Oryzias latipes: one gene and its partner. The protein of the gene in region 2 purifies or fractionates together with the protein of the main gene of each other region. This does not show direct contact. Links are inferred from orthologs where the notes say so. Each region holds a gene or a part of one and is shown on either strand. Other genes may lie near its edges.

What was found.
Region 1: the proteins of paxip1 (region 2) and histone-lysine N-methyltransferase 2C purify together in Homo sapiens (affinity purification with mass spectrometry; 4 studies listed by BioGRID and IntAct, with this or other methods). This does not show direct contact. The link is inferred for Oryzias latipes from reciprocal best matches to the Homo sapiens genes PAXIP1 and KMT2C.

The regions. Positions count from the first base shown.
Region 1 is NC_019875.2:25,341,791-25,346,216, forward strand, and holds the start of histone-lysine N-methyltransferase 2C, read left to right. Parts: upstream 1-1,491; 5' UTR 1,492-1,910; exon of another isoform or gene 1,911-2,552; intron 2,553-2,710; 5' UTR 2,711-2,757; intron 2,758-4,426. UniProt on the Homo sapiens protein: Histone methyltransferase that catalyzes methyl group transfer from S-adenosyl-L-methionine to the epsilon-amino group of 'Lys-4' of histone H3 (H3K4).
Region 2 is NC_019875.2:13,222,288-13,226,111, forward strand, and holds part of paxip1 (PAX-interacting protein 1), read right to left. Parts: coding exon 3,662-3,824; intron 1,528-3,661; coding exon 1,415-1,527; intron 1-1,414.

The DNA of each region.
Region 1 (4,426 bases), about 12 Mb from region 2:
ATGTCACTCAAAATCTTTCTCATTACTACAACCTGTGTAACTGATTGAGTTTACCCTGTGCTGACTGCTTTGTTATTTAAAAATTTAATAAAATACTGTAAAAAAATAAGTTTTTTCTTTTTCTTTTTAAGTAAAAAGAACATAAATTGTGTCTGAAACTAACTGAATGTTTGACAACTAGATATCTACTTAAGAAGCCTTTTCCAATCATTTTAATATGATTAAACGTGTAATTAAAAAAAACTCTGTAAATATTTATTCTAATTTGCATTCAGCTTCTGTAACACATAATTACTTTGGTTACAAAAACATTCACACTATTCAAATGATTATTTAAAAATCTCATCTTTAATTTACTATCCATTTAGCCTCATCATTTGCTTGTCATGTGCACGAGTGTGAATGTTACAACTCTGACCATCGGCCTCAAGCCTTTTAGAGTAATTGGGTCAATACTGGTTAGTGGTGTAAATGCACACCAGCGGAAAGGTCAAAACTTAATAAAGGACACTGGTATTGTGCAATGTCTCCAACTCAGTTGATGTCAGAAACCCTACTGACCTTTGAGATCTGATGCAAAAAAAGACAGGTGAATTCTTCAACAATCAGTGGTGCTGATAAGCTTCTGAGAACTTTTGGATCAGACTAAATTACTGATGTCACCGATATTACAAGTAAAGTACACTTAAAATGTCTTTCCCCTTTTTAAGCATCATAATATTCAATAAACCATTAGTGACATTACAAAAATATTTGTTTTTATACACATATACAAGTTTTCGATTTAGTCAGTGTTTAGTTTACATTTTCAAAAGCTTGAGAAGGTGTATTTTGTGTATATTCTGCAAGCGTTTAAAAAATCCCACTACAAAGATGAGGCAGAAAGCTGTTCCTTCCTCAGGAGTGGTTGGAATTTAAAAGTCAAATTTAAAAATATAATAATCTAACAACAGTGTACAATGTTTTTGTCAATAAAGTTTTTTTTGCAATTTGTTGTCCTGATGCTTTGAGGCATTTAAATTATACAACCAAAAATAGTAATGTATGGTCTCAGCCACCAGGGGGAGCTCACGGTTTGGTAAAGCGGTAACCGGGCACAGTTTGAAGGGACGGGGTTATGTTTATGTCCATTTCTTTTACCTCATGGCTTCACCTGGAGATACTCGTCGTGTCTTATCTAAGGAAGCCGGTCAGGCGGTGGATCGTTGCGGGCATGAAAAGCACGCTGAGTCCACGGATAACGATGTTCCATCCAGCCGCTGAAAGCCGACCTCTGGGGACTCTTCTCAAAGTTAACCCTTGCATGTACAGTATGTCTGCCTGATAGGCGATGAATAATGCCATGCCTGCTGTGTATGTGCGTGTGTGTATGCATTTGTGTGTGCGTCTTCGCCCGTGCGTACGTGCGTGTGAGAGAGAGAGAGAGAGAGAGAGAGAGAGAGAGAGAGCGAGACACAGAGAGAGAGAGAGAGAGAGACAGAGAGAGAGAGAGTCTAAAAGGGGACGCTTTAATTTGGTGGCAGAGAGGGGGCAGTTACGGCTATTTTTCTAAACTACCAAAGCCGTTGCGGATGAAATATAACATCTATTCCAGAGTTAGTCATTTATAATTGTAGAAATCCGACGACGGCAGGATCTTTGTCGCTAGAGAAGGTTTGCAGGGGCTGGAAACTGAACTGTTGACACTCCCACCCCCGAAAAGACTAGAATCCAGTTTCCGTCTTTTGGCTACTTCCTGGCCATTATTTTATTTACTAAATGCTGGTATCCCTCCGCAGGGTCAGAGAGTATTTTGAACAGAATGTAAAACGGTTTGCGCTCTGTTTTCTTGCATGTCGTGCTATCAACGTGTTTAAAATCTGACGGGTTTTTGAAGTGGCACCGTCCTGAGGAGTCACGAGGATTACTAGGTATTTGTTTGCTCAAGTTCTGTCAGTAGGTGGTGGATCTAGATTGTTAGGAGCCTGGAGGGGGATGTGGTTCGATGCCACTTATCATTAGATATGGCCATCGTTTTTAGACTACACCGAGGCGTCATCTTTCCCTTAATTTTGTCATAAATCGTGGGAATTTGGGGTTTTGCTCCGCGTGGCAGGCATAATGTTGTTTTTTGCAAACTAGTGTTTGCTTTCCCATATTTTTGGAGCCAGTTGTTACTGCGTGGCAGAGTGGTTACGAGAGTCTTCTAACTAGCCGCTTGGTCCCGCAGCTTGTCGCAGCTGAAGAAAATAGAACCAGTTGTTGCCAACCCAGCAGTCGGCATCCAACATTTGCTTTGCACAACGCTATACCTTTAAAAAGGATTGTGTTACATTGCTTTATTCCCGGGGCTCTTGCAGTGGCGTGTATTTCGGGGTTTCTTTGTGTGTCTGTGTTAATGATAAAAAAAAATTGCTGGCCATAGACTTGGGTGGCTAACGCCAACTAGCTATATAACCTGAACTCGTGCGACGACAGCTGTCATTGGAGAAAGGAAAGTGATCCCAACAAATGCGCCTGCCAGTGAAGCGGTTTTCTGTTGGATTTACATCAGCTGCTTTCCCGTCAAATGGGTAAAGTTTGGAATTACATTGCAACGCTGGAATACAATGCTATAGATGCGCTGTGCATTTTTGAGAAAGGCTGTGTTGTTTCATTGGAGAGAAGCTAGCTAGCCTTGTTAGCTTGCTAGCTAGCTGTGTGATAAAAGTGCGACGTTTTTATTCCCCAGTGTTTTTGGACATGAAGAGGATAATTCGCTGTCCATAGGGCCGGAAGGTAAGATAAAACCCTCACTTGCATTGTGTTTGTGTTGGCTATATTTACCCAGAATTCGCCTTTTCAAATGAGAGTCTGAGCCAACATTATCCTTCAGTCTGATGTTGGGGGAGGTTGTCGCCGCCTTGGCTTTCATGACTCAGACTGTTCAACGGAACGGAACATAAAACGGGACGGTTCATTATATTTTGCATAACGCCGACTTCGGAGGGCAAAAAATATATATATGGGCTTATTGTCGCGTTTATTTATTGCACAAGTCGGCCAATCGGCAGTTGTGTACAGCCGACATCAATTGTTAAAGGTAGACTGTAAACCAAAGCCTTGTATGTTGTGTAACGTATCATTCACTTTTTGTGAAGCATCGTTAGTTCCTCGAAACAGTTCCGCTGGATTGAACAGTCCGAACCTTTGTGTGTTGGACACCGATAAGTATTGGTGCTTTGATGATGATTAATACATATTTAGCGCCATCTTCCTAAAGTCGGTATTAACATCATGAGACATTATGTTTAGCATCTAACCCCAGCCTCCAGTTGCTGTGAGTTGCCAACTAACTACAGCCAGTGGTAACCTGTTTGCTTTGCGAGCCCCTTTAAGTCTCGCTAGTAGTAGTTGATGCCTTTGCCTTTGTACTGTATTGTTTGACGTAGGCATCAGCCTACTTTCAGTTTGACTAATTTTGACAATGCCTATGTTAGGTTCATCTGCCGCAGAAAAGGCGACATTGTTTAAAACAACACGCTAGCCCTCGCTAGCTTTTATGCAGCTGCTTTGTGCCCAAGCTTGGTTTGACAAAAGCTATCGGAAGGCATGTTTTCAATTGTACCCTGGTGGTCGTGACTGCTGCTTACCCAAGCCTTATATGACATGCACAGTCAGTTACATACATGTAATGTTACAAATCTCACAGATCTCCTCTTGTTTCCTCATTGAAAACCAGTGTGGCCCCATATATCCAGCAGAGCTTTTACTGACATGAAATAGAATTTTTTTTTCTTTCCATGTTAACCTTCTTTTGACAAGTGTTTCTAATGGATGTGACCGAGCAGACCTTGTAGTGGAGGCCAGAATTGACATAAATAAAGAAATTATTTAATCCTAGAGTGAATGAAGGGTTTTTGTTCCAGGAAATTACTAAAAACTGGGGTTTTTTGTAACCCATTTGGCCTCGAGCTGTTAAACATATCTACACAAACTATTACTTTTACTTCTACTGTTTTTTTTATTTTTATTTAACTGGAATCTTTTCTAACGCAGCTCTGATGAAAATACTAAATGGACACCTGCCAAAGCTACACAATTTTTTCCCATTAAAATAATTGTTTGCAAAATACCTTCAGGACCACAACAAAAAAGTGTGCCTTTTTACTTTAATAAAGCAAGAATATATACCTAAAATATTAAAATAGGTATATATAATTGCAGACAAGGATTGAATTCTTCTTTTTTTCTGTATGGTGACCATCATATAAAAACATGTTAGTTCTCATACTGTCACTTGGGAAGGAATCAGATCTTAAGGATGAAATCTGCTCATGTTGTTGCATCTTATTTAATTGACGAAATGTACTCTACGAATGATTGTATAATGGACACAGACCAATTTGAACCACAGGAAAAAAATCTTTAAACTTGACGTGTTTTAGTAAATGGCTTCCTTCTTGTT
Region 2 (3,824 bases):
ATAACAGTATAATCTGTAACAATAAAGTATCCGACATGCAATGTTAAATGGTTTTCATGTACATGGTTTGTTATTTGTCTTCTCCCTCCTGTTTTTCACGTAGAAAAGTATCAATAAGAATACCGGATTGATGCCACATTGATAAGAGGAGTAGTATTGATCGAATCTTAACAATACCCATCCCTAGTTTTAAAAGCCCATCCATCCATTCATTCATTTTCAGATCCCAATGCATTCCTTTCAGGGTCAGTGGGTTGCTGGAGCCTATCCCAGCTGCTGTTGAGTGAAGGGGGGTTTATGCTGAGCAGGTCGTCAGTCTATTTCAGGTCCACACATTCACACTTGGGGACAATTTTGAATCACCAATTTATCTATGGATCATGTGTTTGGACAGAGGGACGGAGCTGGAGTCCCCGCAGAAATCCCACACGTGGACGAGGAGAGTATGCCAAGTCCAGCTGGAATTTCAAGCAGGGCGTTCTGCTGTGAGGCAAGAGAGCTAACCACGACACCCCCATGTAGCCTTAGCTTTAAAGGCCTTTTTACTGACAACCATGAACTTAAGGCCTGATCAAACCCTGTGGAGCAAACGTTTTGCCAGGCTGGGATTCAAAAACTGTTTTTTTCAGCTGCAGTCATTGAATGATGGTTATGAAGTGCAGGTCACTGAAACCCATCACCATAGAACACCAAATCTAAATCCTGATCGTGAATTACTCATTTGTTTACTAAACCAAAGTGGTCAGAATGATTCTTCTTGACTTTCCTGCTGCTCCCTTTAGTGGTCGCCACAGTGAATCAACAGCCTCCATCCATTTCTATCCACCCTCCCCCGACATCAACCCCCGTCATGTCCTCCATTACATCCATGAACCTTCTTTCTTTTCCCACATATCACTCCAGTCTTATCACCTTTTACCAACAGAACTACTGATCCTCCTCTCAACATGCCCACAGATCTCAATCTGTTTGCTGGCATCCACCTCCATAGCATCCATCATGAGCTGTTCCTCTGATAGATACTTTCCTGCCACTCCAGACTTCCATCGCATCTGTTGTCTTCTTTTGCCTGAAGCCATATTGTTGATCATAAATGTTCATGTCTGACTTCAGTCTAGTTTCCACTACTCCTAATAACTTCTTTATGCGACTCATCAGCTTATTCCTCTGTTTCCACAACTCAGAACGTCCCTCTTGTTTTTCAAAATACACTTTTACTCCATTCTTCAGGCATCATGTCACTCTTCAAGGTGGATAATCTCATCCATCGTCACGACAACGTTCATTGACAAACACACCCTTGGCAAATACCAAAAACTGAACTCAGAGTCCTCCCAACTGCATTAGAAGGATTAACCACAGAGGAGATAGATGGAGATGGGCAGCAGTAAGTGTGTGTGAAGAAGCTTTTTACATGAGCGACGTTGGGTGGTCGGTTGGCAGTCTGCACATCAGAGGCATTGGTGATGTTGCAGAGGGTTATCATGGCCGTACTCCATCCAGGAATGCCTTCAGGAACCGGTACACCTACAGAAAACAAATGAAAGGTGGAAAAGAAATTCAATCCTATGCAAGCGTTCTCAGAATAGAGCCACGCCATCACCAAAGGATTACATTTTCATCTATCCCTATAGAAGAGGGGCGTCACAATCACAACTATTAAAACAAATTCAATATGGCTTAAAATAAAGGGTTGTAGCTGTGACAAATCCTTAAAATCTTTTAGCAAATTTAGCAACAATTATGAACTTTCAGATTAAAAGGCCACTTTTGTGGTGTAATTCTGGCTTCTCCATTATAAATGCAAAAGTATTGTGTTGCTGTCGGTCACATGACTCACAAAACCTTATTTAAGTACTTAAACTCTATTGGGGGATCATATTTAATGGATTCAATGCATCATGTGCAGGGAAGGGAATCTCAGGGTGACTCTCGATACGACGTGATTCACCATACATGGATCACAATTTCATATTGCAATTATCAATGTTACCTTGATCATCTAATATACCACTATTATATAAACAAATATATCTTTATTTTCGATGAAACCTTTTTTTTAAACAATTTAAAACACAATATATGAATTTAACCATCCTTTGCAACAGTAAAATAAAATGATCAATAAATACTGCTGTGTCTTTGTAATAAAAACATACACTTAATGATAACTAATGAACAAAGCTCCAATTATGAACTAAAATGTATATCAAATAGCCTCAGTGGAATTAAAAATTCACAATGATGTACTTTAATTATTAATATGAACATTCAGACCCATATTTCGTCACACCCTAGTCTTGTGTGCTATTGTGTTTATAGATGACTTTATTAATCCCACGATGGGGAAATTTCATTTATCTGCAGCAGCAACAACGACATTCAGAAATAATATATATAATATAACATCAAAAAGGACATTCATATCAAATTATTAACAATTTTTATTAAAACTAATTAATAAAAATATTATTAGAACTATTATCAAAATGATTAAAATAATTATTAAAAAAAGAGAGCAATTATAATGTCAAGAAGATAGCATCCTTTGCTATTCATTTTCATTAAGTTATGAATGAATATCTGAAATAGATTTTACAAACATATGTATTTTTATCATCTCATCTTTGAAATCAATCATTCATGGAGGATCACAATACATCAAATATTTATCAATTGTACGATTTCCTGGTCATTGCAGGTTTGCGCTGCTTATTGGCTGTTGTACAACAGGTTTTACGGTTGCCATGGTGAATGAAGGATGTGGACTCAAAGAGCATGCCGTAAAAATCTAGATATTTTTCTTCCTGGAACTATTTATTCAGTAAAGCTTGCATTTTTGATGCATTGATTGCTTGCTCTCCATATGACTGACATGAACCCTTTTACACTGGAGCTCTGGTTCACATTCTTTCTACGTCTGTAACTCTACATCCGTTGACGCCATTAATACAATACCAACGGATTCCAAAGAGGAGAAAAATGCCACACCCTATGGTAATGAAGTGCTTCCGAGATCAACATAAATCAAGTAATTCTGTCATGGAGGAAAGCAGCCTTGCGTCATTTATTTGTGCAAAGCCGATATGAAAAGCCGCTTTTCTGGGCGTCAGAATCGGCTGATTCGCCTTCATCCCATAAACCAGGGGTCGGCAACCGGCGGCACCGGAGATGCATGCGGCTCTATCATCCCTGTGTAGCGGCTCTCCGTGGTTTGGTAAAATAACCACCATGTTCCAAGATTGCTGTGGTGCCTTCAACACCATCAGGTAGTGCGAGCGGGCAGGAGGAAGAGGGCAGCGTGAACGCGCGGAGGGGGCGTGTCTGAAGCTGTGAACGCCGACCAGAGTCTGTTATGGGATGGAAAGTTTTTCTGGAAAGACAGTCAGTGGGGATCTCGTAGGGGACAGATGTACATCAAAGAGCGTGTATTATTCGAGTGTCGCCTATGACATCTTTGAACATACAGACTGCAAGAGATCAAAGGTCAATTGGGCTTCCAACACCAATATACCCCAAAAAGCATTACTGTCAATCAAAATATTTATCTGAAACAAAAACATGTCATCTTCTAAATAGGTAAACTTGGGAAAAATTCATATATATGCTGAAAACACAAATACAGGATGGAAACAGTCATCAGAGGCGGGGCTTTACTGACCTTGCTGCGTGGACTGATTGATGGCAGCGGCGGCAGAGCCGGTCTTTGCAGTTGTTGCTCCTTCGCTCCCTGCTACAGAAGGCACAGTGGAACACAGGTTGATGAGGCCACTCCCCGCAGACGAAGCCAGATCCCTGATACCAGGTGGGCCGGTTCGCCGCCT